Elephas maximus indicus: one gene and its partners. The protein of the gene in region 1 interacts with the protein of each later gene in a pairwise test. Links are inferred from orthologs where the notes say so. Each region holds a gene or a part of one and is shown on either strand. Other genes may lie near its edges.

What was found.
Region 2: the proteins of CRYAB (region 1) and CRYBB2 interact in a two-hybrid assay, tested with the Homo sapiens proteins (2 studies listed by BioGRID and IntAct). The link is inferred for Elephas maximus indicus from reciprocal best matches to the Homo sapiens genes CRYAB and CRYBB2.
Region 3: the proteins of CRYAB (region 1) and gamma-crystallin C interact in binary tests that used the Homo sapiens proteins (3 or more experiments, as listed by UniProt). The link is inferred for Elephas maximus indicus from reciprocal best matches to the Homo sapiens genes CRYAB and CRYGC.
Region 4: the proteins of CRYAB (region 1) and LBH interact in a two-hybrid assay, tested with the Homo sapiens proteins (2 studies listed by BioGRID, with this or other methods). The link is inferred for Elephas maximus indicus from reciprocal best matches to the Homo sapiens genes CRYAB and LBH.

Annotation. Positions count from the first base shown.
Region 1 is NC_064825.1:6,983,055-6,991,382, forward strand, and holds the start of CRYAB (alpha-crystallin B chain), read left to right. Parts: upstream 1-5,202; 5' UTR 5,203-5,346; coding exon 5,347-5,547; intron 5,548-6,685; coding exon 6,686-6,808; intron 6,809-8,275; coding exon 8,276-8,328. Other genes in the region: C7H11orf52 (uncharacterized protein C11orf52 homolog), read right to left, coding at 115-163, 3,122-3,149; HSPB2 (heat shock protein beta-2), read right to left, coding at 3,200-3,654, 4,166-4,259. UniProt on the Homo sapiens protein: May contribute to the transparency and refractive index of the lens. Has chaperone-like activity, preventing aggregation of various proteins under a wide range of stress conditions.
Region 2 is NC_064840.1:31,512,337-31,520,621, forward strand, and holds the start of CRYBB2 (beta-crystallin B2), read right to left. Parts: upstream 3,337-8,285; 5' UTR 3,316-3,336; intron 3,263-3,315; exon of another isoform or gene 3,173-3,262; intron 1,939-3,172; 5' UTR 1,913-1,938; coding exon 1,859-1,912; intron 1-1,858. UniProt on the Homo sapiens protein: Crystallins are the dominant structural components of the vertebrate eye lens.
Region 3 is NC_064824.1:106,973,977-106,981,179, forward strand, and holds gamma-crystallin C, read right to left. Parts: upstream 3,337-7,203; coding exon 3,328-3,336; intron 2,750-3,327; coding exon 2,507-2,749; intron 823-2,506; coding exon 550-822; downstream 1-549. UniProt on the Homo sapiens protein: Crystallins are the dominant structural components of the vertebrate eye lens.
Region 4 is NC_064830.1:49,963,547-49,970,875, reverse strand, and holds the start of LBH (protein LBH), read right to left. Parts: upstream 3,337-7,329; 5' UTR 3,121-3,336; coding exon 3,095-3,120; intron 586-3,094; coding exon 483-585; intron 1-482. UniProt on the Homo sapiens protein: Transcriptional activator which may act in mitogen-activated protein kinase signaling pathway.

The sequences.
Region 1 (8,328 bases):
GATTGTATTGGCCTCAGCACTACTTAATCACGCCCCCATCCCTGGTATAGAACCAAAGACCCTCCACTTACCCCTCAACCCAATAAGCCAAAGTTAGACTCATTTCACACTCACCAGCAGCTAGGACGCAGTGGAGCAAATTCTTCTGTAGAAGATATGGGCTCTAGGAGAATTTATGAAACGTGTAAGGTTTGTCTTCAGAGCTCTCGCCCCCATCTTTACTCTCTTTCCCAGATGCCTAGGTGTTTATGTGCCCCTTATAGATATTTGGGAGGAGCCCTAGTGGCACAGTGGTTAAGCACTCGGCCGCTAACTGAAAGGTCAAGGTTCACAGCCCCCCTCCCCCCCGCAGGAGAAAGATGTGGCAGTCCTCTTCCGCAAAGATTTACAGCCTCAGAAACCTTATGGGGCAGTTCTACTCTGTCCTGTGGGTTTGCTGAGAATCGAATTGGCCCGCCAACAGGTTTACGGATATTCAGGAACCACCACCCAGCCTGCACTCCAGAGTACCCTGAACTCTTTAACTCCTCCCCATCTTCTTTCTTTACGAAAAACAGGAATAATAAGAGTGACAACCTTATAGGATTGGGGTGACGATTAAATAAAATAATGTATATAAAGCTCTAGTCCACTACCTGGCACTGTTTCATTCCACTGTGCATGGGATTCCCATGAGTCGTGCCGGCTCCATGGCAGCTAACAACAACGTCGTTATAATTCTTATTATTCTAGTGTCTCTGCTAACTCTCAGATGATAAAGCATTTTATGTTACTTTTTTTTAGTTTTGTGCCTAGATCATGGCACTAGACTATTATCTCATGGCCGGCTTCTCCCTGTAATCCACTCAGTATTCTGCCATTAACTGTATTCTTTTTGTCCTATTACACTCCCCACTCCCTCCCCACAAAGCCATTACTGATTTCCTGTTACCTACAGAGTAAAGTTCAAACTTCTTAGCCTGGCACTCAAAACCATAAACAATCTGATCCCTTTCCAGCCATATCCTTTGTAATCTAAAGGAAAGCCCCTAAAATATCGTAGATGACCAAAAACTCTAAAGGTACTAACAGTGTATTGTGTAGCCAGGAAATCTATGTACTTTAAGCAGCATTAATAGAAATCTAGAGTGTTAAACACAGGGATTTTTTTCTTCCACTGAACTCTATACCATTCCATGACTGGAAATAATACTTTCAGGTCTAGATGCTGAATTTCAAATTACATTACGAAAAGGCAATGTGTTCAAGAGTATGGGAATTGCTATATGATACAGTTAAAGAACTAGTTATGTTTAGCTGGGAAAACGTAAGCCTTAGGAGGAGAGGATGGTTATTTTTAAATACCTGAAGGATTTTCAAGTGAAAGAAGAACCGCATTTATTTTCTGGACATAACCAGAATCAACAGGCAGAAGTTACTGAAATGAGGATTTTGGTTCAATAGAAGGAAGAACTTGTAACAGATACATCAAAAAAAAAAAAAAAAAAAAAAAATGGAGTGTGTTACTAGATGAAGTTTTAAGTTCTCTGTCACTCAAAATGTCCCAGCAACAGTTGGCTCATAATGTGAGAAGAATATGGTGACGAATTGGACTAAATCAGAGGTTTTCATATTTTTTCTAGCTAAGCAATCTTTTCTATAAAGCTCGTGTCAAAACCCCAATTACAAAACAGATCAAAGCTGTTCTGGTTGAAGTCTGAGTAGGATGGATCCCTTTTTAAAAATTCTTTTTTCAACTAGACAGTAAGATTCCTGATAGTAGAGAATAACATACATATTTTTTATATTTACAGTGTATAACCTTTAGGATGTATTATCTGGGGCTTGATAAATATTTGTTGAATGAATGAAAAAGCAAAAATATAGTTATTTTTCTGAGGCATGCTTACGTTTTTAATAGAAGGCAACCTTTAACCAAAAATTGAATTCCTCAAGTGAGGGTCCTTACCCCAGTGGTCCATGAATCGCTAAGAGGGATGAGAAAGCCAAATTTGGGGGCATGTACATTTTCTGGGAAGAGGGTTTATGGCTTTTATCAGATTTTCAAAGGGGTCTCTAACCCAAAAAGGTTAAGAACCACCACTTGAAAGGAAGAATTTGAGGTATTTTTTTACCATAGATGTGTTTTGGGGCAGGGAGGTCTTCTGCACACCCCCTAAATCTTACGCATGCATGCTCTCTTGACTGCAAAGCATGACTGAGGGGTCATGACCTTAGGCTTTCCTAAATACACCATGCCCCTAGTCTTAGGACTATACTTAGTACTAGACGTCCAAGGCAAGCTTCCCTGGCAGTCACCACCACTGTATTTTTTTTTTTTTCTGTCTTATTACACTAATAGTCCTGTTGCCATTGAGTTGATTCTGACTCATAGCGACCCTATAGCCCTAGATCCCCTGCATTGGGTCTTGGGTTGACTGGCTGAGGTGATGTGATAGTTCCTGTCTTTCTTTGGATGTTCCAAGATTAGAGACAAATGCTTTCCTTCTTGGGCCTCCTCTGTGCGGAGCATGAGAAATCTTTGTGGTGTGGTGATAATGGTAGGGATTCCTGTGTCTGTGTCCCTGTCTATGCATATTTAGTCTCTCGGAATCAGAGACCATTTCCTGTGAACAGACCTCAGCATGAGAAAATGAAGTATTTTGTTTTAGGCAACTCTCTCCAGCCAGTTTTCCCAACCCCTACCCAAAAAGGGCCAGACAGTCTGGAGACTCTTGTTTTTGTGTCTCTAATCACCAGCTCAGACAGTGTCCTCTGGACTGTTTGGATGGCATATCCCTTTCCCCTCCCAGGATCACTCTCTCTTTTGTTGCATTGTGAGAAAATTATGGCTAGGAATTTGATCTGGAGCCAATGCCAGCTTCCGGGCGTGATCTCAGCATCCAAGTGTGACGATGGCACATCTAACTGAGGTGCTTTATGTCTAGCCAGCTATGACCTCCTCCCTCCCTGCTCATCCCTTCCTCTAGGCCACAGAATAGGGAGCAGCACAAACAAAGCCCTGAGATTTGGGTTTATTCAACTCTACCCAGAACTAAGCCAAAGGCTATGACACGTCCCAAGGGACCAAACAATATATTGTGGACCATGCATTTTTCCCTTCCCCCAAGGATGCTGCTACCTCTGGGATGGTGGGCAGCTGCTAGCATCACGCCTTGGGAAGTAAAAAGGGATTTGCTGGGTGCTGGGTCTGTGGCAGTCAGGGCTCAACTCCGGCCACCTCCTCCTCTTCATCTGGATCAGGAGGTGCCGGGAGCAAGGAGATGTAGACCTCATTGACCTCTGTGTCCAAATGTCGCCCACCCCGAGGGGCCTCCAAGTTAAGGATGCCATCATGGGAGAGAGCAGCACGGACCCGCCAGGGGTCGACATCAGCAGGCAGGACATAGGTGCGGCAGAACTCCCGGGACACGAAGCCATGGCGGTCCAGGCGCTGGGGGTGCCGGGCAGACACCTCCAGCAAGTTGTCCACAGTCCTCACGGTCACCTCATCTGGGGTAAAATGGCTTACGTCCAGAAATGCCTGGAACTTGCCCTCACTGAGCCTAAGCTCTGAGGCCCCTGCCCTGCTGCCCTCCCCAGCTTGGGCAGCCCGCGGCCGGACATAGTAGCCATGGTAGAGGGTAGGGGTCAGGATCTCTTCTGGCAGGAGGCCTGAGGGGCAGAGAGAGAGAAAGAGAAGGAAAGAAGCAGGATGAGGAAGGTGAGGTGGGAACAGGGATGTTTTGAGAATTGATCAAGAGATGAGGACGGATTGGGACCACAGGAGGGATTCAGGAGAAGCAGGGAGGGGAAGAGAAAGGGACAAGGTGACTGGGAAGAGAAGGAGGCAGCTGGGGAGACAGAACTGAGAAAGGAAATGAGATGGGGTGAGGGAGGGTAAACCAAACTGGGGCAGGGTGGATAGATGGGGAACAAGCAGGCACACCAAGTGGGGCAAGGGGCAGGGATCTGAGTATCGTGGCACCTAGTCTGTCCTGAGGGCAGTAAGAAAGAGAAAGAGCCCTCTTACTTGGAGGTGGGGGAAAGCAGCCTGGGGTGGGAGATGGCTCGCCCCAGGAGTTCAGTTAAGCCTGAAGTGGGGTGGAGGCCAGTAATGTTGGGAGGTCAGCCCAGAATTTCAGGAGGTGGGGGTGGGAGGCTGGGGGTGGCGTGTGTGCCATACCTTCTCCGAAGCGCTGTTCACCCAGGCGACTCGGGTTGGCAAATTCGTACTCGGTGGTGGCGGGGTGGGCATGCGGCACCGAGCGGCCAGACATGGCTGTAGACGCGTAGGCGGCCCTGTTCCGAGCTGCAGCCCCAACAGGCGCAGCGCGACCCCTCCTGCTGCCCGAAGAGCAGCTCGGTCGGAGGTGGGGGCGGGGTCTACACCACCCAAAATAGTGCCGAGCCTCTGGAGGGAGGGCGGGAGCGGGGGCCTGAGTGCGGGCGAAGAGTGTGAAGCCAGCGCCGTCCGGACCCCCGACCCCTCCCCCCCTTCAGCTGTCGCAGGGTGCTTGAGATGACAGCTGGGGGTCCTGGCTCGGGAGAGGGCTAGGGGAAGGGAGGCTGGCGCCGGAGCTAAGGAGAGGCACGGCTGAGACCCTCACGAACAGTTTGCACATTTTCCACACCACCCTTTCTCCTCCTCAGTCGCAGGCACAGTGTGTCGTACTTCATAAAGCACTCCTGGATGTAAAGTTCTGTTGAGCCTGGCAGAGTGAAAGATGAAAGAAACTTTTCTACCCTCTCTGTGGGCTTAATGGGGGTGGTGTGGGGTGGGGAGAGGGTTTTCCTGCCCAGATTAGTCAGGGTCCTCTCCCGAACCCAGGTCAACCCAGGGAAACCCACGCAGACGCCTGGCACTGACATGATCACTGCTTCAGGGACCCACAAGAGTTAATGTTCCTGGGGCACAGCCTCCGAAGATTCCAGTCCCTGCACAGGCCCAAGATAGTTGCTGGCCCGATTCCCCTGGCATGCAAGACCGGAGAGGAGGGGGAGGGGCACAACACCCGCCTGCCTGGGATTCCTGACTCTGTCCCAGTCCCCAAGAACAGAAGTGGGGGGGTGGGGGGCTGCCATGGGATGTAGATGAGAAAGCCAGTGAAACAAGACCAGGACAAGTTACTGGCCAGCTCAGACGTGTTTGTGTTTCTCTTTTCTTAGCTCAGTGAGTACTGGGTATGTGTCACACTGCCAAATCCCCGATCACAAGTCTCCATGAACGGGCGGTGAGCTGGGATAATAAAACCCCTGACATCACCATTCCAGAAGCTTCACAAGACTGCATATATAAGGGGCTGGCTGTAGCTGCGGCTGAAGGAGCTGACCAGCCAGCTGACCCCCCACACTCACCTAGCCATCATGGACATCGCCATCCACCATCCCTGGATCCGCCGCCCCTTCTTTCCTTTCCACTCCCCTAGCCGCCTCTTTGACCAGTTCTTTGGAGAGCACCTGTTGGAGTCTGATCTCTTCCCAACTGCTACTTCCCTGAGTCCCTTCTATCTTCGACCACCCTCTTTTCTGCGGGCACCCAGCTGGTTTGACACTGGGCTCTCAGAGGTGAGTCTCCTCTCTGCCAGAACGGGAGAGCTCTTCCTGGAACTTTTCTTCTCTTTCTTTTTTCCTTTCTTTCCCTGACTAAACCTGATTATGCTCAAGTCTCATAAGTGTTTCAGTTAGATGTGTGTCCAGACATGAAGAAAGATAAGGTCCCTAGCACCCACCTCTCCCAGTCACCTGTTTCTATTTGAAGCTTCTCTGCATCCTATTTATTACGTTTCTCCGTGCACTATGAAGATCATCCTCTGTCTGCTAACTTCCAAGCAGGATGCCCCTTCTCTAATTCGGTTCATAAAGATCTGCAGTAGAAAAGCTGCCTCCAGACTTCTTTGCTCACCTCTTATGATGTATCATACTCCTGACAGATTTTATCATCTCAAGTTTCAGAGCCAGGAGACAGTCCTCCCTCAGCTTGAGCTTTCATCCCTGTTGGGTGGAACCGGAGACAACAACCATTATTTTCTTCCTTTCTATTCCCTCTTCTGTGATTTTCCGCATTTCTTATAGTTGTAACTGGGCACTGCCTGTATCTAAGCCTTATGAGGAAGGAATGTAGGTCTGGTCTTGGGACCCCCTCACTTGTCCTAAAAGAGTGGGAGGAGTACGGGGTGAACAGATATGGTTGGCAGAAGCTGTCACAGATAACACTCTGGTTTAAAAATATTCAAGTATGAGTAAACAGTAGCTGAGTGAGCAAGGGCGTTGGAAGGACAAACAGGACCAGCAGAATATTCCAGATTGAGTGGGTGGGAAACTTGGCAGAGACCCGAGCAAGAAGAAAGGGGCCTTTGTCTTACAGACAAATGACAAGAGCAGGCATTGGGGTTAAGCAGCAGCAGAAGCCATGCCAGGCCCGTCCTTGTGATTTGTTAAGTCCCCCTGGGTGGCCTGTCTTTCATCCCTGTCCCTGTAAATAAAGTTTGGGCTTGATAACCAAGTGTTATGCTTTGGGTACCACTGTGGTGGCTACCCCAGAGAGCCATACTTATTCAAAAAGAGATTTTTGGCTAAAAAAGAAGAAGATAAACTACCTGGACAGAAAACAACTCTACAGAATGAGATTAACACCAAGATAATTAACATTCCTGGCATCTTTTCTTCTATCCCTTCTTCCTGTGCCCCATTCTGCTATTTCTAGATGCGCCTGGAGAAGGACAGGTTCTCTGTCAACCTGGATGTGAAGCATTTCTCTCCAGAGGATCTCAAGGTCAAGGTGCTGGGAGATGTGATTGAGGTGCATGGCAAACATGAAGAACGCCAGGTATGTAGCTTGTGTTTAGTTCCACCCATTCATTCAGTGCCTGCTCTATGCCAGGCAGTGCCATCAGCCTCTGAGGCTGGCAACATCCCAGTCCCAAGCCGTAAGGGCCTACATCAGGGTCACACATCGGTAGCTAGGAGACTAAATGAGTGACAAACCTGTTTTGTTTCAGGTTTTTTGTTTTTGGGGGGCAGAGAAGTGGCCTGTGTTGTTTGTTTTGATATGATTGCCTTAGAGGGGATGTATGGAATGTTCACTCTTCATTGAAGCCCGTGGTTCTCCGCCTTAGCCAATTAGAATCAGGGGAGTTTTAAAAAATCCCAATGCTCAGGTGCACTCCAGTCTAATTAAATCAGAATATTTAGGGGTGGGACCCACGTGTAAGTAGTTTTTAAAGCTGACTAGGTAAATCCAGTGTTGAGTCTAGGCTGGGAACCCCTGATTTAGGCATAGCGCTTGTCAGACACCTGGTTGCTTCACATAATGACATTGACTGCATCCACCCTAAAGGCATTTGAGTTTGTGACTCCTTTAGATGTTCAGGAATCTACTGCTTAAACCCATCTTATTGCTGAACTACTTGGTTTGTCTACTTTTCAGAACTGTACTTAGCTCCTAATACCCTAGAACCCACTGGTAATCAGTTCACTGAAAGTCTACCTGAATAAATGCTTGAGATTTAGCAAGTATAAGGGTTAGGGCTAAGTACTCTTTGGGGATTCTGAAGAATGGAACAGCTTCTTGTTACTCCTTGGGAGAATTTTTAAATGAACATGCTTCTCACCAATTAGTGAGAACTTAGAACTTTGTACATCAAACAGAACCGTTTGACACCCTCAAGCTGATTCAGCTTTGCTCACTCGATTTAAGTTTGGGTCACAGTCTCCCTGGATGGAGTAACTGTTCTTTAGCAGCAGTCTTTTTGGTCTGGAACATTCCTGGAGTAAGGACAATTTCTGGGCTTCCTCAGGGACTGGCCTGCTGAAATGAGATTCATATCCTATAGGCCCAGCCAACATTGATCTAAATCTTTAGGAAATATACCTAAACATATCCATGCCTCAGGGTCTAGGGAACTATGAAGTTCTGGGGGTGTTTCAGACTTCTCAGACTCTTATTGGTAGCAGTGACCACTAAGTGACTTTGTCTTAGCACCAAACTGAAATGAACAGCTATTTAGCTTTTTCTCATCATGCTGCCATGGCATTTGGTTCTACCTAAAGGGAGTAAGGAGCTCTGGTAGTGTAGTGGTTAAGAGCCTGGCTGCTAACCAAAATGTCAGCAGTTCAAATCCACCAGCTACTCCTTGGAAACCCTATGGGATTTCCTACAGGGTTGCTATAAGTCGGAATCAACTCAATGGCAACAGGTTTTTTTTTAAGGGGAGCGGGGCTGTCTGAGGTTTTGGCGAGAAGTATTATTTCCTGCTCTTATCTCTCTGCTTCTTTCCTCGTTCCCTTGGATTAGGATGAACATGGTTTCATCTCCCGGGAGTTCCATAGGAAATACCGGATCCCAGC
Region 2 (8,285 bases), on another chromosome or scaffold:
TCGAGTCAACTCCAACTCATGGCGACCCTATGTAGAACAGAATGAAGCATTGCCCGGTCAGACGATACTCTGTCGTGATCCATAGGGCTTTCATTGGCTAGTTTTGGGAAGTAGATTGCCAGGCCTTTCTTCTTAGTCTTAGTCTGGAAGCTCTGCCGAAACCTGTCCACCATGGGTGACCCTGCTGGTATTTGAAATACTGGTGGCATAGCTTTCAGCATCACAGAAATGTGTAAGCCACCACAGTATGACAAACTGACAGACAGGGGGTGGAAAATTTAATATGTGTTATCTAATCCTTAAAACTTGCATTGTCTGATATGGCAGCCCTTAGCTACATAGGGCTATTAAGTGTATGAAACTGATTCCAATTAAGATGTATGAAAACGATGCAGACCCTCAACAAGATGGACTGACACAGTGGCTGCAACAATGGGCTCAAACATAGCAATGATTGTGAGGATGGCACAGAAGCTGGCAATGTTTCGTTCTGTTATACATAAGGTTGCTATGAGTCAGAGCTGACTCAAAGGCACCTAACAACAACAACGTAAGTGTAAAATACACATCAGATTTTTAAGGTTTAGCTTGAAAAAAGTAATTAAAATCTCCCTAATAATTTTTGTATTGCTTGTATGCTAAAATGCTCTTATTTTGCATATATTGGGTTTAATGAGATACAATATGAAAACTGATTTCACCTGTTTCTTTTCACTTTTTTTTAATGTGGTTACTAGAACATTTTAATTTACACATGTGGCTCACATTATACTTCTGCTGGGCAGCGCGGCTCTAAGCCACACGACACTGAACTTGTTGTCCCTCACACTCACCCCCCTGGTTCCCACCCCAGGGCCTTTGCACTTGCGGTTCCCTCTGCCTTGGTGCCCTCTCCCACCCCCACCCCAATTTGCACACAGCTGTCTCCTCACTGGTCCCAGGTCTCTGCTCAAATGTCACCTCCTCAGAGAGGCCCTTCCTGACTACCATCCCTTGTCCACCTGACTCTTACAACCCCCTTAAATCTACTTTATATTTCTTGCTAGCAGTTCTCATTACTTGAAATCACATATTTGTTTATTGGCTTATAGTCTGTCCTCTAGAAAGTCAGCCCCATGAGGGATGGAATAAGGGTGAAGAGAGTGAGGGGCTACCTCGGCTCAGCTTCCCCGGCCAGCAGGCCCCAAGCTGGACAAACAGAGAGTTCTGGGATGGAATTCATGCCCTGGGCTCCTGAAGTGGGCAGAGAGGCACGGGAGAGCAGCCAGGTGGGTGGTAGGTGGTGGCGGTTTGGGGGCAGATTGGGTGTGATGAGCCTCTGACACCGAGATTAGATCCCATTGAGACCTGACATTGGATGAGACAGCAAAGCAGACCAACGAGCTGGCGTTGGGTGCACACTCACAATGCGTCAGGTGTCAAGGGGAGCCCGGTTTCTTTGCCAAGTCACCATCATCCTATGGCAGAAGTCCCACCACTCTCCCCATTTCATGAAGGTCAAGGTCAAGGATCTGGTCCAGGTCTCACAGTCTTGCAGGTGTGGAGTCGGATATATAGTCCACCCTACCCCCACTCACCAGCTCCAACTCAGACTGCAACTGGGGAGCCCCCATGGGTAATGGGGTTCAGGAGACAAGGCAGAGAAACTTCAGGCTCTGATGCCGGAAGCTGGTGATGGGAATCTAGGTGGTCCAGCTATGACAGGGGAGGGGCCTTCAGAGGTGGGGAGACTGAGGCCCAGAGAGGGGGCAGGGGTGGGAAGGGGGAACCCTGGGAGGGAAGACACCAGCCCTTTTTACAGAAGAGGATACTGAGTCTGGGGGAGGTTCACTGCTGGCTCACCCTGTGAGGTACCCACCTTGGGGTTGAGGGGCTGCTGCTTGCCCACTTGAGTCTGGTGGTCTGAGGCCATGGTGGACTTCCCCGTGCAGAAATGACCTGGAAGGCATGGAGACCAGCAGTTAGACCCTGCCCTCATGGAGCGGTGGACGCTGAACCTGGGCTTTCTCACCCTGCTGGTGGTGAGGGATGACTCAAGGCCACTCCACTGAGCCCCAAGCCCTGTCTTGTTCCCCCTGGTCTCAGTTTGTCCTAGAACCTTGGGGTCTGCAAGCAACTGCCTGAACATTCACCATTAACTTCACTTCTTTATATCCAGGTCAGCTCCAGGAAAAAGAGGAAAAAATTGAGGTCTATGCCAGGGACGTGGTGATAAACCAGAGCCTACGCAGGGTCCCAAGTGGGTTCCCATCATCCAGCTCCAACCAATAGACACCATACAGAACACAGAACAGCGATACCAGAATTTCTGCCTTGATGTGGATTTTCTTGATTGAAGGCAAATGGCGTGAAGCAAACCAAAGCCATGCCGTGGCCATGTCTGTCTTATGGCTTCCAGTTTGAGACCTCGCAGAGTCCCCTGCACCCCCTGCGCCCACCCCTGCCCCAAGCTTCTTCCCTAGACTCCTCTCCCCGTTCCCGGTACCCAGAATTCTCCTCTCTATCATCGGCCTTACTGGGCCCCATCAGGGAGCGCAGCTGCTGTGGAATTCTACGTTACAAGAAAGCAAAGGCGTAGTGGAGGAAGTTCAGGCACTGTCATAGGCAGCAGGGGAGAGAATTTCTTGGCTGGTGAAAACATCAGGGTCCCTGGGTGGCGCGAACAGTCTGCACTTAGTGGCTTCTCAGAAAAAAGGCCTGGTGATCTGCCTCCATAAAGATTACAGCCAAGAAAACCCTATGATTCTACTCAGTAACACATGGGGCCACCTTGAGTCAAAATCAGCTCAGGGACAACGAGCTTGGTTTTTGGTTTTTAAGGACATCAGAAAAATCTGGAAAATTGTCAGGCTCTTCTCACTTCCATGGGGTGGCAGCCAGGACAGGCCTCATTTCCCGAGGGGCAAGACAGGCGACCTGACTTCCTTCTCCAGAGACAACATCCAGCTTCCAGAACCTCCTTCCACATTAGAGGCCAAGGCTGGACATCCCCAAAAGGACATAATTCAGTTAAGCAGCTGTGAGCCAAACCTGCTCTTCCTCCGCAACGAGCCCGCCCTCTGGGGCTGCCAAGGCACCTGAGTCTCCACCACCCCACCCCGCAGCCATCGGCATCCTGAGACTAAAGATGAAGCCCGCTCGGTCCAGCTCGGGAGCTGACACTGTGGCTTACCAGCCCTGAGGCCCTGGGTGAGTCACATCCTCTTTTTGTGCCTCACTTTCTTGTCTTTAAAATGGGGACAGTAATAGAGTGCCCGAAATATCTGTGGGCAGGCGGTGAGAATTCGGTTATATAAAGCGTGATACTTCCGGCACCTGGCAGAAAGCTCTGCACACGCTGGGCTCCCAGGAAATGACAGCAATTGTGAGACTATCAGGGTTATTTCTACCAGGCACCAGTGTTTTGAGTCACTTGTTGCTGGGAGATCTTTCAGCACTACAGCAGTTTCCTCTCCCGTGGTACTTTGCCGAGATTGGGCACCGAGCGGGCGGTAATGTTTGCTGGTATGCAAAGAGCCGATGCACCGCCCTAGATGTGACGCTGAACTACACTGGCTCAATTCCTTCTACTTGCAAACCCTCCAAGTTAGATTCTGCAGTAAAACAAGGATGCTGATGGACTGGCTCCTCCACCTGTCTGTCAGTTTGTCGTACTGTGGTGGCTAGTGTGCTGCTGTGATGCTGGAAGCTAGGCTGCCTGTATTTCAAATATCAGCAGGGTCACCCATGGTGAACAGGTTTCAGCGGAGCTTCCGGATTAAGACAGACTAGGAAGAAAGGCCTGGTGATCTACTTCCAAAAATTAGCCAGTGAAAACCATACGGATCACAACAGAACATTGTCTGATATGGTGCTGGAAGATGAGCCTCCTAGATTGGAATGCACTCAGAATACACAGTGGCTGCAACAATGGATTCAAGCACACCGATAATCGCGAAGATGGCTCAGAACCAGGCGATGCTTCGTTCTGCTGTACGTGGGTTGGCCATGAGTCGGAGTCAATTCAACAGCAAATAACAACAACAAAAATGGTATGTTTAATAATAATAAAGAACACTCCCACTATATGCCAGGCACTGTACTGGACTGTTCACCTACCTTATCTCTAATCCCCTCCACAAGGGAGGTTTTATGATCTCTCTCCCCATTTAACAGAAAAGAAGACTGAGGCTTAAAGCATTGAAGTCTCTGCCCAAAGTCACCTTGTCAGAAAGTGGCAACATCTGGATTGGAAACCAGGTCTCCTATGCGATGTATCAGGGATGAGAATGACAGAAAAAGGCAAGGCAAGCAAGAGAGGCATTCTTACCAGTGACACCAGCCCCCGCGAGTGCTCCTGAGGCCTGGCCAGCAGGAGGTGGCCTTTATACCTTCCCCAGAAGTGCCAGCGCCAAGATGGGTGATTGCTGCGTAGCCGCGGAAAGCAGAGTGAGAATGCTGGATTAAGCCCACACCAAAGCCTGGCTCAGCAAATGCCCACAAACATTGTGTCTCCACACAATAATGTCATTAGCTGTCAGATTCGGCCTCGCCAGGGTGGTCAGGCGGCTGGACCGGAGGATACCCACTTTGCATGCATCAGCCATCCAGCTGCCAGGACCAGGGGCATACTGGGTTCATGGGCCTGGTCAGTCAGGCCCTGGGGCATAGCGGATGCAGACAAATCTCCGTGATCCTGGGGAGGAATAAGCAAAGGAGGGTGCTTGGCAGGGCAGGCATTCATCCAGGAGCCCTGGGTGGTGCACAGGGTTCACACACTTGCCTACTAATTGTAAGGCTGGTGATTTCGGTCCACTCAGAGGCACCTCGCAAGGAAGGCCTGAGCATCTACTTCCAACAAATCAGGTGTTGAAAACCCTGTGGAACACAGTTCCACTTTGACACACACATGGGGTCGCCATGAGTCGGAGTTGATTTGATGGTTAGTGGTATCCATCCCTCCATCCCTCCATCTCTCCAACAACTATTTACCAGGCATCTACTTGGTGCCAGGCTCTGTTATGGGCGATAAGATCAAGAAGGGGACTTAACCCAGCCAGGCCTTCAAGGGAAGCTCCTGGGAGGAGGAGTCCCTGAAAGATGGAGAAACAGCGGCCTGGGGAGGAGAGTGGGGAGCTAGTTCCAAGCAGAAGAAGGGGCCCATGTGCAAGGAGATTGCATGGTGGGTTTAAAGTGCAAATGCTTGGCTGCTAACTAAAAGGTTGGTGGTTTGAGTTCACCCAGAGGTGCCTCAGAAGAAAGGCCTGGCAATCTACTTCTGAAAAATCAGCCATTGAAAACCCTATGGGGCAGTTTTACTCTGACACACATGGGGTAGCCTTGAGTCAGAATCGACTTAACAGCAACTGGGTTTTTTTTGGGGGGGGGCGGATTGGAAACAGGTTCATGTGGCTGAAGTGAGGCAAGTGATGGGACAGGGGTGCAGGACTTCAGTTACATTCCTCCAGGTGCCTGATGTATGTCTTGACTGAATTCAAGATCAGGCAGGAGGGCGGGGACAGCACTGGGGCCTGGAAACTGAATCTAAGGATACTTGTTCCCCCGCCTCCCGTCCCCCCAAAACACACATAGACACATATAACTCATACAGGGACACTTATATGTACACACATATGCAGACACACACATACACACAATCACCACCCCACTAGCTGTGCCCTTTCTTTCTGTAGCAGAGAGGTGCCTGTGGGTGGGCTTAGACGCCAACCTTTCAGTTAGCAGCTGAACATGTTAACTGTTTGCATTACCTAGGGACCTCACTTCCCACTTATAAGGATCTAAATATTTTAATTCACAGATAATATAGCACTCATAATTTATGTTGTTGTTGTTTGCTGCGGTCGAGTCAGCCCCCAACTCATGCACAATGGAGCGAAATGCTGCCTGGCCCTGCACCACCCCGTGCTGAGTTATAGATCAGACCCATTGTGATCCATAGGGTTTTCATGGGCTAATTTTTGGAGGTCACCAGGCCTTTCTTCCTAGTCCATCTTAGTCTGGAAGTGCAACTGAAACCTGTTCAGCATCAGAGCCACACACAAGACTCCACTGAGGTATGGGTGGTGGCTACACATGAGGTGCATTGGTCAGGAATTGAACCCAGTTCATAATTACACCCTTTGTGAAATGAGTCAACTTGTGTGAACCCCGCAGGAGAGTTTCTAACCCATAGAAAAAAAAAAAATTTTTTTTTTGGGCACTAAGTAATTGTAGCTCTTACCTTAATCATTACCATGACATCTACATGGACTTCAATATTGTCAAAGCCTATTACATTGCTTTCTTATTCATCCTCTCATTAAAGAAAATGCCAGGCTGAAGATTGTCAGCAACTTGGATGTCTCTATACTCATTCATTCGTTTATTTCTACACCCAGCAAATACGTCTTGAAGACTGACGCTGTATCAGCTGGGGGTGAGTGGTGAGGGATATAGATAGGGTCCCTGCCTTGGTGGGGCTTCAGCTGACACCTTCTTAAGATCTCAAAGTACTTCACCTTTTTTTTTTTTTTTACTGTGGTGAAAATATGCATAAGAAAACATATGCCATCTCAACAATTTCTACATGTACAATTCAGTGACATCGGTGCATGTCAACCTTTCTCACTATCCTTTTGGTGTGCAACCGTCCTCTCTATCCTTTTCCAAATCATTCCACCACCATTAACATAAACTCAATGCGCCCTAAGCAGTAACTCTGTCCTTCCCCCCTCCCTCCTATCCCTGGCAATCACTAGTAATCTTTGGTTTCTATATATTTATTTCATATAAGTGAGATCATACAATTTTGTCCTTTTGCGGCTGACTTATTTCACTCAGTCTGATGTTTTCAAGGTTCACCCATGTTGTGGCCTGCATCAGGACTCATTTCTCTTTATGGCTAAGTAGTATTCCATTGTGTGATTAGACCACATTCTGTTTATCCATTCGTTGGTTGATGGACATTTTGGTTGTTTATACATTTTGTCTATTCTGAAAAGTGCTGCAACGAACCTTGGTGTACAGGCAGCACTTCACTTTTTGGGGTGACTGGAGCAGGTCACTCATCACTGAGACAAAGAGCTTACTGAGCTGGGACAGGATCTGTGGTCTCTGTATCCAATGCGTAGTAGGTTTTCAGAAAAGATTTGTTGCCTGATCAACTTAATTCATGAGTAAGAAAAGAATGAGAGGGTCTTAGTTTAAATTCTACCAGCAAGAGGCCTTCCTTCACACAAGAGTTCAAGTGCAGATAGTTTACTGATCCCGGGAAGCATCAGTAGGGAGAGGGGAAGTGAGACAGGGAAGCAAAAGCAGCCAATACAGGGTGTATTAGTGAGCAAGTGTCACCGAGCCTTCTTCAAATTAGGTGGGGTCGTGTGATTTGTCCTGGCCAATGGATTCTGAGCAGACGCAACAGGTATAATTTCCAGGTCAAAATTTTTTATTGACTTTCCAGTGCTCTCTTCTTGTCCCGTGCCTTGAGATGGCTGTGTTATAAGATGGTGGAAACTCTGTTGGCCTGGGCGAAGTGCCCCCTTCTGACTAGCATTAGACAGGTGACATGAATAAAAAATCCACCTTTGTTGTTCTCAATCACCCAGACCTGGGGCTATTTGTTAAGGCAGTGTAACCTGACTGATACACAGAGAGAAAGGGCTTAGGGTTTCCTCTCCACTCATCTTCCTGTTCCCATGAAAAGAAGAGGCCACAGTGTCCCTTTGGACAAACAGAGTGTAGTCCTTAGATAAAAAGTCCAGAGCTGGAAGGAGCCTCTGAGATAATCAAGCCCAAGGGTTTTTGCTTCTTTAAAAACCAACATTCTCATCTTAGGACAATTACTTCCCTTCTTAAGACCCTACCTCTTAGGCCAGCCCATCTCTAGACACTGAGATGGATTCTAGCCCCAGTGAGGAGGGCACTGAGTCAGTCTTCCCACAGGCCTTCCCTGACCCAGGATGCTCAGGAGCTGGTCATGCGACAGCCTTGGGCCCAGTGCCCCTCCTCCCTTTCATGGGGAGCCCTGAGCCCAGTGCCCATGATACTGGTCATGCTCAATAATCCATAACCATTGCCACTCCAGCACCATCAGCAGCAATGGCAGCAACATTAGGTTGGCCAGCCACAGCATCAACAGCTGATGAGATGGGACAAAAGGGCTTGGAGCCAGACCTGAACTTGAGTTGCGGTCCCAACACTTACCTGCTATGGTACTTGGGACAATTGACTGCCACTCTCTGGGTCTCAGTTTCTCTCTCTGTAAATGAGGCTCACTATTACCTGTCTGTGGGTCAGAGACGATCCCA
Region 3 (7,203 bases), on another chromosome or scaffold:
GGATCAGAAGGAAACTCTATAGAATGTTGTTCAAGGCACTGAATTACATGCCTCCCTTCTCACAAGCCACCTGCTGCATTTCTCTAGCTTTGGACTGCTTTTTCTTTCTCAAAACCCATTGCCGTTAAGACGATTTGGACTCAGAGCCACCCTATAGGACAGAGCGGAACCGCCCCATAGGGTTTCCAAGGCTGTTGTCTTTACAGAAGCAGACGGCCACGTCTTTCTCTCATGGAGAAGCTGGTCAGTTTGGACCACCAGATCTTCCGGTTAGCAGATGAGTGCTTAGCCACTGCACCACCAAGGCTCACTTTTTTCTTTCTCAGATAGGCTATATGGTCCCCCAACCCCAGTTCTGAACCTTGCCAAGACTCACTCTGCTTCTTGAACAGCCACCACCCCCATTCACTCTTCAATCTTTAATGGGGGTAGTTGTAGGTGAGTGAATTTGCACACAACAGAAGAAAAACAGAAGTTGACAATTGCCAACAATACAGACTAAATATTTTATTAGATTCCAAACTAAGAAAATGGTAGCGTTAACCTATTTTAGTATAAATCCACAACCCTCTGCAAAGAGCCTGCCTTAGCATCCATAGCTCCCCAGTCCTGATACTGCCTATACTCTCTCGGCCTCAGTAGGTACTGTCGCCCGCAGTAGTTGGGCATCTCATAGAGGACCCAGCAGCCCTCCAGCACATGGAGGGAGCGAACCTCACTGAATTGGAAGCGGTCCTGGAGGCAGGAGCAGTCCTCGATCAGCTCCATCATGAGGCCTTTGTGGTCATCTCTCTCATACAGCCGCATCCTGTGGGAGGCTGTCTGTTGGGTCCACAAAGAAAAAGCGGAGAAGAAAATGAACCTCTTCCAGAATTCATCCAACCAAACCACAGATGAATTTGGCAGGCTGGGGCATGGGATTGTCAATGTGAACATGGAGATCCTGAGATCCCTGTGAATGCTGTGTGTGGCAATGTTTCTTCTTTTTATAATTTATTTTACTTTTTATTGTTGCTGAGAATATTCACAGCAGAACATACACCAGTTCAACAATTTCTACATGTACAATTCAGTGATGTGTCTGTTTCTTACCAAAAAAACCAAAAACCAAACCCGTTGCTGTCGAGCCGATTTTGACTCATAGTGACCCTATAGGATGAAGTAGAACTGCCCAATAGGGTTTCCAAGGAGTGGCTGGTGTATCTGAACTGCCAATTCAGGTTGGCAGCCTGAATTCTTAACCACTGTGCCACTAAGGCTCAAATAATTGCATAGTTGTATTCTGTTTCTTATCTAGGAGATGGATTTTTTTTTTTTTTTTTTTTTGCACGTTTTATTCTGCCCTCTTGGTCTCATATCGTTGGTTGTTTTGAGGAGCACATTTCTCACGGGTGTTAGTGTTCACTTTTTAGGACTGCTTACTGTTTGGCTGAAAGGTGATCTTCTGGAGTGTGCTCTGTTCCAGGCTTGAAGAGTGTCTAAAGGCCATAGTCTAGGGGTTCCATCAATCTCAATCTGACCAGCAAATCTGGTATTGTTTATGAATTTGAATTTTGTTCTATGTTTTTCTCTGGCTCTGTCCGGGACCCTCTATTGTGATCCCAATCAGAGCCTTTGGTAGTGGTAGACAGGCACCTCTAGCTCTTCCGGTCTCAGGCTAGTGGAGGCTGTGGTTCTAGTGTGGTCCATTAGTCCTTTGGCTTAACTGTTTAGGAGATGGGATTTTTAAGAGGTTTGAACTCTGAGTTAAAATCCATCAAACTCAAATATCTTGATTCCTAATTCCCTGTGCTGTCTCAGACCTCTCTTTTGGGGGAAATGTGAATCATTTATTTGATTAATATTTTTTAATAAGAGTGCTATCTCCCTAAAAATAAACAAACATACCACATTTGTATCTATGTATAGATTGGTTACTAAAAGAGGATTTTAAAAATCACATACATTTGTAGAAAATTGGTTTAAATAGTCATTTGGAATCAGAATTGAACTCAAGTTCCAAATTAAGGAAAATCCCAAAGCTGGATACTACCTTTGAGTAGATTATATTAACAACCCTCTGAGTCGGAATTGACTCAACAGCAACCGGTATATTAAAAACAGAGTTTTTGATTCTTTCCAGTCCACAGTGGAGCCTATCTCATTCATTTATTATAGATTCCTTTACTATAGAAAAAATTTGTTAGAAATACTGCCTTTTTTTGCCCAACAAACTTCCCATTTGCAAGTTTTATTTCATATACTATTATAATGTTACATTTGTTATGGACAGCTTTTGATTTACCTAATGGTAGCAAAAATTAAAAATAAAACTGGCTCTTCCTCTAAGTGAATTCTTCCCTAGGTTCTCTACTGTTTTTGTACATGTGCCTATCTGTGCTTCAGCACGTATCTAAGCCCTCTTGACCCTCATTGTTTTTAAAGGACAACCTCCCCTGACTCTAACTGCAGTCATTAATACAGTGAGGATACTCAGGCCCCAAGAGTGAAACCAAGAAGAACTCACAAAGGGGATCAGACAGCAGGAAAGGACCAAGTTGCTGAGGCCCATCCACTGCTGGTAGTCGGGGTACTCGCCCCGGTGCAGGAAGTACTGGTGTCCCTGGTAGTTGGGGAGCTCGTAGAGCATCCAGCAACCACTGTCCACCCGGATGGAGTTGCAGCAGCTGAAGAAGGTCTGCAGGTTGGGACAGTCGCTACTGCACTCATAGTAGCGACCCTGGAAGCCCCGGTCCTCATAGAAGGTGATCTGCAAAGAAAAGATAATTCCAAATTATCACCTGCTTCCAATAGAACTTTTTGCACACAGTGAAAGACAACGGAAGTCAGCAATTGCCAACAACTCTTGTTGTATGCCGTAGATTCAATTTTGACCTATAGCGACCCTATAGGACAGAACAGAACTGCCCCTAGAGATTCCTAGGCTGTAAGTTTTAAGGGAGCAGATTGCCAGGTCTTTCTCCCAAGGTGCTGCTGGGTGAGTTTGAACTGCTGACCTTTTAGTTAGTAGCCAAACTCTTAACCATTGGGCCTCCAGGGCTACTTAGGCCTTGTATTTAAAAAAAAAAAAAAATTGTTGTCCAGTCGATTCTAACTCACAGCGACCCTAGAGGACAGAGTAAAGTGGCCCCATAGGGTTTCCAAGGCTGTAAGTCTTTATGGAAGCTGACTGCCACATCTTTCTCCTGTGGAGAAACTGGAGTTCCAAATGCTGATTTTTTCAGATAGCAACGAGTGCTTAAGCACTGCGCCAACAGGGCTCCATAGACCTTGTATAGAAGCTGTTTTTTTTTTGCCCCCTTTCTGTCTAACTTGTGTTCTGCTCACCTTTCCCATGGCTGGTTGACAGGGATGATGCGAGTTCAGCGTAACTGGGTGGCAGCAGCAGCAGGTCTATATAGCAGGACGGCTGCTGCATCGGCAAGAACAACACAAAAGGGAGCCCGCCTGGTGAGTAAGGGGATTTTAGGGATCCCTTTTACATGCTGCATTCGGTGGAAATAACCGTTGATTTTGCCCTCGTTCTCTAGTACATTCTAATGCTGTCCTGTATGGTCTGTTCTGATGAGTCTTTAAAGCCGCTTTTATTTGAATTCTTAGTGTTCTCTAAATTTATCAGGACAGACTGAACTTTTGACCTGAAATTCATGTCTTTACATACATGATTCAATTATTCTCCATGTGCTTTCTGAAGAAAATCTATGCCATTACAGAAATGCTCCAGAATTTCAGAGAGGCAGCTTGTGAAATAGAATGAGGCAAGCATTAATTTTCCTTGTTGGTAGAGACCACTTTATCTTCAAATTTCTTTCTTTATGTGGTTTGCCATTCCAGTGCAGGAGAAACCTAGGTTCTGATCTTTGCTAGGCCTCACCACCTTGACTCCATGCTTTCATAGCTATTAACTTCCCCCTTGGTGGTTGCATTTCAATTAACTGGAAATCAGTTCCTAGTGATAAACTCGTGATAAGAAACACCCATTAATCCACTGCTGCTGAGTTGATTCCAAGTCATACTGACTCTACAGGACAGGGTAGAACTGTCCCATAGGGTTTCCAAGGCGATAGCTCTTTATGGAATAGAGCGCCACGTTTTTCTCCCATGGAGTGGATGCTGGGTTTGAACCACCTACATTTCAGTTAGCAGCTGAGCACTTAACCACTGTGCTACCAGGGCTCCTGAGTAGTGGATTGCTTTGTAGGTTGTTTCCCTCTTCCCAGAGATGGGAGAGGCAGTAGAGCTTCAAGAGTTGCCTGGACTCAGGACATCTATTTAGCAGCTGCATGAACTTGGCAAGCCATATAACCTCTCAGAGCTTCAATTATTTCATGATACTTATCTCTTGGGAAACAGTGTAATGAATGAGAAAGAAAGAAAGAAGGAGAAGAAGAAGAAAAAATAAGCCTATTACATTTGGAAGCTGGACTAGCATTCACAGGCCATTTATTCTCCTAATTAAAAGAGAAAACAAAACAAACAAAAAAACAAAACAAAACAAAACCTGTTGCCTTCGAGTTAATTCTGAGTCATAGCTACCCAGTAGGATAGTAGAACTGCCCATAGGGTTTCCAAAGAGCAGCTGGTGGATTTGGACTGCCAACCTTTTGGTTAGCAGACATAGCTCTTAACCACTGTGGCCACCAGGCTCCTAATCAGACATAAACAATCTCACAAAATACCAACATCGGACCAAGTTTCTCTGAGACCATAATGAAGACTACAGCCTTCAGGATGGATTATACCTCAACATAAAGAAAACAAAAATCCTCACAATGAACTGATAAGCAACATCATGAAAAACACAAAATCCTGAAGTTGTCAAGGATTTCATTTTACTTGGATCCACAGTAAACAGTGCACAACCAACTCCCATAGGAGCAGCAGTCAAATCAAAAGACAAATTGCAATGGACAAATCAGGTGCAAAAGACCGTAGAGTGTAGAAATGCAAAGATATCATTGTGAGGACTATGGGGGCACCTGACCCAAGCCATGATATTTTCAATTGCTCATATGTATGCAAAAGCTGGACAGCCAATAAGGAAGACTGAAGAAGAATTGATTCCTTTGAATTATGGTGTTACGAAGAATATTGAATGTACCATGGACTAGCACCAGAAGGATGAACAAATCTGTCTTGGAAGAAGTGCTCCTTAGAATCGAGGAAGGCGAAACTTTGTCTCACATACTTTGGACATGTTATCAGGAGAGACCAGTCCCTGAAGAAGGACATCACACTTGACAAAGTAGTTGTTATTGTTGTTAGGTACCGTCGAGTTGGTTCTGACTCATAGTAACCCTATGTGCAAAAGGATGAAACACTTCTGGGTCCTGCACCATCCTCACAATTGTTATGCTCGAACTCATTGTTGCAGCCACTTTGTCAATTCATCTTGACCTCTGTTTCGCTGACCCTCTACTTTACCAAGCATGATGTCCTTTTCCAGGGACTGATCCCTCCTGATAACATGTCCAAAGTATATGAGACGTAGTCTCCCCAACCTTGCTTCTAAGGAGCATTCCGGTTGTACTTCTTCCAAGACTGATTTGTTCATTCTTTTGGCAGTCAGTATTACATTCAGTATTCTTCGTCAACATCACAATTCAAAGCCATCAATTCTTCTTTGGTCTTTCTTATTCATAATCCAGCATTTGCATGCATTTGAGGTGATTGAAAACACTATGTCTTGGGTCTGGCACACCTTAGTGTTCAAGGTGAAGTAAAGGATCAGTGAAAAAGAGGAAGACCTTGATGCAGTAGATTGACACAGTGACTACGACAATGGGCTCAGACATAGTGATGATTGTGAGAATGGCGCAGGACCAGGCAAGGTTTTGTTCTGTTGTACTTAGGGTTGCTATGAGTCAGAACCGACTCAACGGCACCTAACAACAACCACATGATGAAACGAGACAAAATATGGTGACTTCATAATTTTGTTTAAGCACAGACAAAAACAAAGTCAATATGCTACCCACAAAATACCAAACACTCCTCTCTTGGCCAGACTGATTAACTGCTACTTGTTAATCAATTACAACTATGTCTTTGTTCTAGCCTCACTTTCATATAGGTAAGATTTACTGAGATACTCAATCATAAAATTACCCCCGTTTCCTGACAACACCTATTCTAGCGTGAACCCCTGCCTTTCTTACATTTACCCAATCAAAGTATACCCTAAATCCTTAACCCTTTCCAGCATCAACTGAAGAGGTTACTAGGATCCTGTAGGACATCCATCCTCCCATTCCAGGACTAGGTGGTGCTTGCACTTCAGACCCTCTTGTTTCTTTGAGGTCCCAGTGTTCATTTTGCAGAGAGGAGGCAGAGAAGAAGTGAGGAGTAGAATTAGAAATTAGTTTGGGCATAATCTCTTCCCCAGGCCCCTCCCCACTATTGATTTTCTCTTTTTGTAGGCATTAAAGACTCCATTTTCTTGTACCTCAGAAGTGGAGGCAACTAGTTTTCAAGAAGAAAGAGTTAATTAAAGAAATCCAGTGTCTTAGATTCCTAGTGCTGCCATAACAAAATTCCACAAAGTAGTGGCTTTAAACAACAGAAGTTTATTTTCTCACAGTTTTGGCGGCTAGAAGTCTGTATTCAGGACATAGGCAGGGCTATGCTCTCTCTCAAACTTTATTCCTGACTTCATCTCATCTCTCCTATTCTAGTTTTTTCTCTGACCCAATGTCCTCACTTGCCTATTTTTCTTTATGATATTGTAATTTGTTAGTAGCTACTTTAATTTTCAAAAATAAATATAAAGAACATACAATCTGGAAAACTTCAGTTCTTTATTTTCCACTTAGTATATTCTCTTTGTAGAGTGATAATACCTTACTTCCTATTAAAATGATGTGAGGCTGAGTTTCCCCACGTGCATGTAGTTTTGGTGAATATCCTGAAATTCTTCTTCAAGCATATATATAGCAGAAAGACAGTGAATCTATATTTGGACCAGAAATCTCATGGAGGAATGGGGTATCGGTAATAGAATTGAGAGAAAAAGGGCGGTGGCTTTTAGAAGGATACAGAGTGGAGTAAGTGAGAATATACCTGTTTGTGTATTTATTTATGGAGGTAAGGTAAAAGTGCTAATGCCAAGAACAACTTTTCTCATTAGGTAAGAGTTGGACGATATAGGGAAGATATCTGGTCGTGATAAACTGGAGGGACAATTTGAGGTGTTTCAATAAGCAC
Region 4 (7,329 bases), on another chromosome or scaffold:
AACTGTTAACCTGAAGAAGAAAGCAGCATTTGACACATCCATTTCCCTAACAGACCAAACTTCCCCATAAGCTGCCCCTCACAGCAATGTTTTTACTGCCCAAGGCATAGCTAGGAAGGGAAGCTCTGATCTGAACTAACTGCATAAATCATTTCCTTCTTTGCCACCGTGAATGGAAGAGTTTACAGCAGCCAGGATGGCTAGTTAACAACAAAGGCTAATGTTTGTTGAACATTTACTGTGTCCCAGGCACTACGAATGCCTTGCACTTATCTCATCATGTTGAATCTTCACCACAGCCTCATGAGGTACACACTATTGTTGTCCTCATTTTAGAGAGGAGGAAACTGAGGCTTACTGGCATTAGGGGACTTTCCTGAGGTCACAAAGTTCTTACAAGTGGCATGGGATTTTTGCTGCCTCCAGCCCAAGCAAAAGCTACCTCCTCTAAAGAGCCAGAGGGGACTCAGAACATAACTCACCTGATAGGAAAGGCCACCCTTTCGGGGGTTGAGTCCAATCTCCTCCATGGATGGGGTGTTCATCATCACCTCAGTCATTTCAGCAGATCTCAGATAGTCAGGGCTGCCAAGAAACCCAGACCAAATGTCAACAAAGACACGCAATTTCACGTTCCCACTCTCAGTACATCCGTTGTTGTTAGATCAGGGGACTGTCTGGAGACAGGATGAGAAGTGTTCAAAACAGAACTCACAGAAAAACAAGCTCATAACCTGAAAAAGTGCCTCATAAGCCCACAGGTCCGGGTTTTCAACCTCAACCAACAAAGGCCATTGTCTGAAAATCTCTCTAGCAAACCTCTGCTCCTCTCCTCTCCTATTTATCCATCAGATTAGAACCCACTGCTTCTGTTTCTAGAAGCACAGAAGCAACTCCGGATTTTCTTTATAAATGACAGAACTAGAAAAAAAAAAAAGTAAGTAGCTGAATCCATCTGTCTAAATTGAAACCAATTCAACCAAGTCTCCCTGTATCCCTCCTGGATAAAAGATAAAAAAAAAAAAATTATCCTCACATGAATTTTGTCCAAAGACGAACTGCATATTATTATCAAATAATAACACACATATTATTATTATATAATAACAGTAACAGGTCAACCTCAGGGAATCAAGTCCAATCACGCTGTCCTCCTACATTTTTCCCTATTTCTCTGGTGCTCTTCTTTGCAAAAATGTCCCACTTAAACCCAAAGGGTCACCTCTGCAGGCTTCACATGTGCCATCCAACCCCATTCTCCAGCTCCAGCTACAGCAGCTGCAAACTCACAGCTTGAGAAACATCCCCTGGATTAAAACCCTTAGGGATACCAGGGCTCCGATTGCAAAGGAAATTTCCAGAGGGGCCAAGCTGGTCCACCAATGGCTGACATGTGAAAGTGCTTTGTATTCTATAAGCAGGATACAAACGTTCCATTATCCTCCCACATCCTTACACAAGCCATGAGCCCACACAGGGTCCTGTACGCATAATACCAAATAGTACACACCAAAGTCCACGGACCCTCTACACAACACCTAGTATTTCCACCATCATACCTTTACACATGAATTAAAAAAAAAAAAATGAGGACCAGGCTTTAGAGGGAAACAGGTGCACCAGACTCCTCTTCATTTTGTTACTACATAGAGTAGAAATGTCACTGGACTGGAAACAAGCAATGTGTTCTAGTCTAGGCTCTGCCACTAACGACTGTGTTATCTTGAACAAGTCATAGAACCTCTCTGAGCCACAGGTGTCCTGTTCCTCTGTTACTATGATGCTGATGATGCTTACCTCACCATTATGTATAATAGTTAATACCTGGGGGGGGGGGGAAGTTACAACTAGGAAGTATTAATCAGCTATAAAATAATCCTAACCCTCAATTTCTCAGGGGATAATACACTGATGGGCATCTGTCTACCCTTGGCCGACTTTGAGTGGCCAGGGGCATAGACACCTCCAGCAGTCTTCAAAACCTCACCCACAGGTCATCTGGCCTCTCACACACCACAGGGGTGGCGGGAACGGGAGTTTCTTCCCGAGTCATGCAAAATCTACCTTCGGCTCCCAAAGAAATGGGCCAGAGGAGCCACCACGGGGCGCTCGCCAGGCTCCTCGCCTGGTGTAAGGGCGCTGTCTCCTCGCTTCGGGCTGTGGTGCGGACCCGAAGAGCTGAGGTGAGAAACAGTGAACTTCCCGGTTGCGGGCCTGAGCAAGATCGCGCGGATGCTTGCCTCTCGCTCGGCGCCTGCCTCTCCCGCCGGGGCTGGGTTGTCCACCCCCTCACCTGGAAGCGCGCTCCGGGGCTGCCAGCGCTCGCCCCGGGCCGCTCCTTCTTTTCCCCGGCGCGGGGGCCTTGCTCCGCGTCTAGAGCCGCGCCCGCGGCGCATCGCTCTCGGTCCGGATCCCCAGGCGGGATACAAGCCTCCGCCGCCCCCCGCCCGGCCCAGGCTCCTTCCAGCCCGGCACTGCGAGGGCGACTTCTCTTTAGGCCCCCTGCAAAGACGACTCGATTTTTTTTTTTTTTTTAGGACTATGGAGAGGGAAGGGGTCGAAAGAGGGCAGCGTGTACCCTGCCGCTAGTGGCTTTATGTGTGAGATCGCTTCTTTCCCCACCCCCTGAAGCTCTGCAAACGGCGCTGCTGCACCAGCTCCACCGGCCTGGACGTCGAGACTTGCTTGCAAACAAAAAGAAAAAGGGGAGGGGCCGGGGGAGAGCAAGGGCCCCCAAAGCAGGCAGGGCGCGCGCCTCTGGCAGCCCTCCGCATTAGGGGACTTAACGGCGGGGCTTCCGGCGTGACCTCTGGTTCTCCATCCACCCTCCCACCCCACATTCACATCCTCCGGCCGTCACTCGGGTGAGGGCTCCAAGTTCACTTCCTTTGTCTGGATGTTCTTAGCACCACTTCCCCCACCCCCACCGTTGCAACCTTGACATTGACTCCTGCACCAGCTCGGGCTGCGGGTTAGCGTTGGGCGTCGGCGCCGCCGGCTTCGCTCGCACCCTGAGCCGGCTCGAGTAGGCGCCCGCCGGGACAGGCACCCACGGCCGCGAGACGGACATCCACCAAGGGCGCAGGATACTCACCAGTGAATGGGGAAATATACAGACATGAAGTCCTAGGGGAGGCTGACCCACGCCTTTGTGATTTAAAAACGGTCACCGCGTCCCAAGCAAGGATGACACGGGCGCAGAAAGACGCACGGCAGACAGGGAGGTAGGCAGGCGGCCGAGTGCGGGCACTGGACGTTCGCCAGTCCGCCTTCACGCGACAACCCCACAGCCAGCGGCGTCTGCAGAGCAGACACAGAACACAACTCTCCACCGAGCTCCCGGCCCCACAAAGAGCCGGCGAAGCAGTATTTATAGTGGTGGAGGCGGGGCTTGGCCCCTGGAAGCCCCGCCTTCCCTCGCCCACTTCTGGAATAACGTCACCAAAATCATGAATGGCTTCAGAGCTCACAGCCCGTGCGGGTGGCGGTTCGGGAGCGCGCTCTGCGCTGCACCCAGAAGGGCTGTGGTTTGCTGCAGCTTCTAGCCCGGCCCCCTCCCCACGACTCTCACACACGCAGATACGCGCGTGTACACACGCACGCACACACACGCACACACCGGAGCTAGTGTTCAATGTCAAAGCCGCTTCCAGCTCACAGACACGCCCGCGTCTGCACACCCCCTCCCTGCGCACGCCCCCGGGGACTCCCGGGCTGAGGAGGTGGGCGTGGGGAGGAAGCTGGGACCCGCTAGGACGTGACCTGGCTCCCTGGCGTCAGCGTTCTCCTCGGTACCCCGCTACTCAGCCCAAACCTCGGGACTCCTCTTCAGCACTCCTTCCCCAAACTAGGCCTCTCCCTGGAACCATCACCTAGAGCAAGCTGCGCAGAAGCGAGAGCACGGCTGAAAAATAAGCGGTGAGAAGGGGGAGACGCGGAGCTGGAGAACCGAGCGCCCGCGGGAGTCGAGTTGGCTTGCGAGGGGCTAGTCTGCAGCCATGAGATCATCCTTGGAGGGCTTTATTTGTGGGAGAAAGGATGTAGTGTCGTACTAGGGTTTTTTCACTGGACACATACGTGCACACAGGGCTGGCAGAGGCGTGAGGGGGTGCGGGTCGGCAGCGCGCGAGCACACGCCACCAGCCTTGGTTCTCAGATCCGTCCCAAGGAGTCGACCTATGACAGAAGAAACAAAGAGCTGGCAATTCAGCTGAACCCCCACACTGCCCAGGAATTTTAGCTCCGTAAGTCTGTCCGGGCAATTAGGCTGCGAGCCGCCAGAGCCTGGAAGGAAGCCTGACTCGGTACCCAGCGCTGCCCCTCTGTGGCTGGAGCGCGTCGCTTCACGCCTCTCCTTCAATTTCTCCTGTAAAATGACTTTATAACTCTGACGTGTGTGTGTAGTGGATGGGGGAAGGAGGGGACTATCAAAAACTAAACAAAATTAACCTGCTCTAAAGTCAGTCAGTTCTTTGGAAGAAAGGCAATGGATGTATTGAATCAATGGATATGTGTGCTTAAAAAGTGGAAATCATAAAAAGTTGATGAGATTAATGGTGAGGGTTAACAGTGGCAGGGCCATGAGGGGGCTGACCCTTAAAACTCATAACTTTCATCCCCAAATCAACCCAAATAAAAATGATCTATAAGAATTTGTAAGAATAATTAAATTTGAAACAACTTTGCTATTTTTAACCATGCACATATACATCTTAAAAAACAGTGTGCACCTTATGAAATGCAGCTCCAAGACAAGCCCCCTAGCTGCCCATTCCAAACAGATCAGCACCCCTAAGCTCCTTCTATAGACAAATTCCAGATCGTCTCCCCAGCCCCCACAAGATAAACCAGAAGTTGATTTCTGCTGCATAGCCCCAACTCCATTCTGCTCCTCTGGTGGTGGTGGTGGCCTGGCAGAGGGCAATGCTTTATTCGTAGGAGCTGATGGGAGATGCCCTGGGTGTGGGGTCACAGCTAACAGTGGGGGCTGTTTGTGCCCTCTGCATAGAATGGGGAGACTTTTCAGTCACCAACTGGGTATGGCATGTTGCCATGCATGTAGCCAAAGAGGAAGCTGAGGCTGGGAGATCCGGTTTACAGGCTGGGATCTTACTTTGAACTTCGAGCTAAGAAGGCCCTGGGTGAGCAAGGCCATTTCTCCCCAGAGTAGCAATCCCTGGCAGGTGGGAGGATGAAAGGCCATCTCAGGTTCTGCATTCCAACACTTTACACGTTTGTTATTATTGCCTTGGAATATTGGAACTTTCAAAACTCTCAGAAAACTAACTCCATAGCCTCCCTACTCCTGACATACACACCCGAAGCGGCAAGATGCTATCTTTTGGAGAATTAAAGCTTCCACCAGCTGGTGTCTGGTCTCTGGAAAAAAAAATCCCTAGACTGTGGAACATTGGGGTAACTACTTGATGTCTATGGTGGAGAGTAGTGGTGGTTCAGTGATAGAAGTCTCACCTTCCACTTGGGAGACCCAGGTTTGAGGCCCTCAAAAGCTGCGAGGCTGACTGGGCGGTAGCTTTGGTAGGCTTTTTAGTAATGCCCGTTGTGACTTAACATCACCTCTGTCCGTAAATTGGAGTGGAAAGTGAATCTCTCCTCTGGGACTAAGGTGATACAACCATTCATTTGAAAATACTAGGAAACATGGTACAAAACTTAGATAAAACTGTAACAAGTAAATTATTTGCATGCCATTTCTCAATAATACTTTGTTTATATAGTGTATTGCAGATTTTCAAAGCATTTTCACAACTTACAGTCCCCAGTTTAAAGATATGCAAACTGAGACTGAAACACATCAGGGAACTTGACATATATCACAAAGCTACTAAGTGGCTGGAACTCGAGAGCTTGGAGACAGACTCACCAGTCCGCTCTGTAGCAGAATGTTCCACTCTGCTACACTGCTTTGGGCCACTGCGTTTTCTTCCTTTCTCTAGAGATGCAGGGCATTTCAACATGCAGACTGACCGTTTCTTACCAATGCCCTGTAAGACAGGTTTCTATCCCTGTAAATGAAATGTAAACATAAGCGAATGAAGTTACTTAGAGTCCCAGAACCTCAAGAGCTGAAAAGGACCTTCTAAATCACCTAGTTCAGTCTCCTCATTTCACAGGTGAGAAGACTCTTAAGAGATTAAGTGTCACATCCAGGGCTGCCAGACTGTTAAGTGGTGTAGATGGAACTTGAACACAGGCCTTCAGTGCCTAGTCAAATGTTCTTTTCCCTCCAACACGATGTCTTGCACCACATTTGCCAAGAAGTTAGCAGCAAAGGTCAAACTAGACCTGGACTCTCTAAACAGCCTCAATCTATCACCAGCTTTTATTGACCACCTACTATGTGCAGAGCAGTAAACACCCAGTCAGAGCCTTCTGCACTCCCCCCCTTCTCTCACCTTTGTCCCCAGGAATTAAGGGGCTGATTTATGATCCTGCTTTGATAAAAATCCTGGAATTTAATAGTGTAATTAGAGTTGTCTTCCTTTCCAACATTCCCAAAACCACTGTCTTCCTTTCCAACATTAGGTATGTCCAATTTTCAAGCTCCTTCTCTCTCCCACCTAAAATAACTTTTTAAAAAGAGATAATGAACTTAAGGTCCTGTTAGAGTTAACCATGGTCACAAGCATGCCACGGTACAAGGGATATGTGTCTAATTATTCATCTAGTAAAAAAAGTCTACATCTAAATTCATTTAGCAACATATTCCCAACATTCTACCTCTCCTTTTGCTTGTTAAAAAAAAAAAAAGTATTACATTTAATTTGCCTGGGTTGCCATGAAGCTGGTACTTTGGTTAGTATTTTAAAAAAAAGTTGCCCTTGAGGCGATTTGAATTCATGGCGATTCCATGTGCACAGAGCAGAACTGTGCTCCATAGGGTTTTTGTGGTTGTGACCTTTCAGAAACAAATCACCAGGCCTTTCTTCTGAGGTGTCTCTGGGTGGGCTCAAATTGCGAACCTTTAAGTTAGTAGTGGAGGACTTCTTGGTTAGCAATAAGGAACCTCAGTGAAGTAGCTGTTTGACCTTAGGGAAGAAAGATAGGCAAGGGAAAGGGCAACATTTGTTGAAGTATACTTGTATCTATTTATTTCTCACAACAACCTAAAGACATAGGTATTATTGCCCCCATTTTACAAACGAAGAAATAGAGGCTCTGAGAAGTTAAGCAACTTGGCCATGGCCACATGGTTCTTAAATTGCTGAACCAAAATCTGACTCTGGGGCTTACTGGCTCCGAAGTCTATGTTTTCCCCACAATAGTACATTTACCGTAACCTCTGTGGTTTTGTCTGTTTGTTTTAAT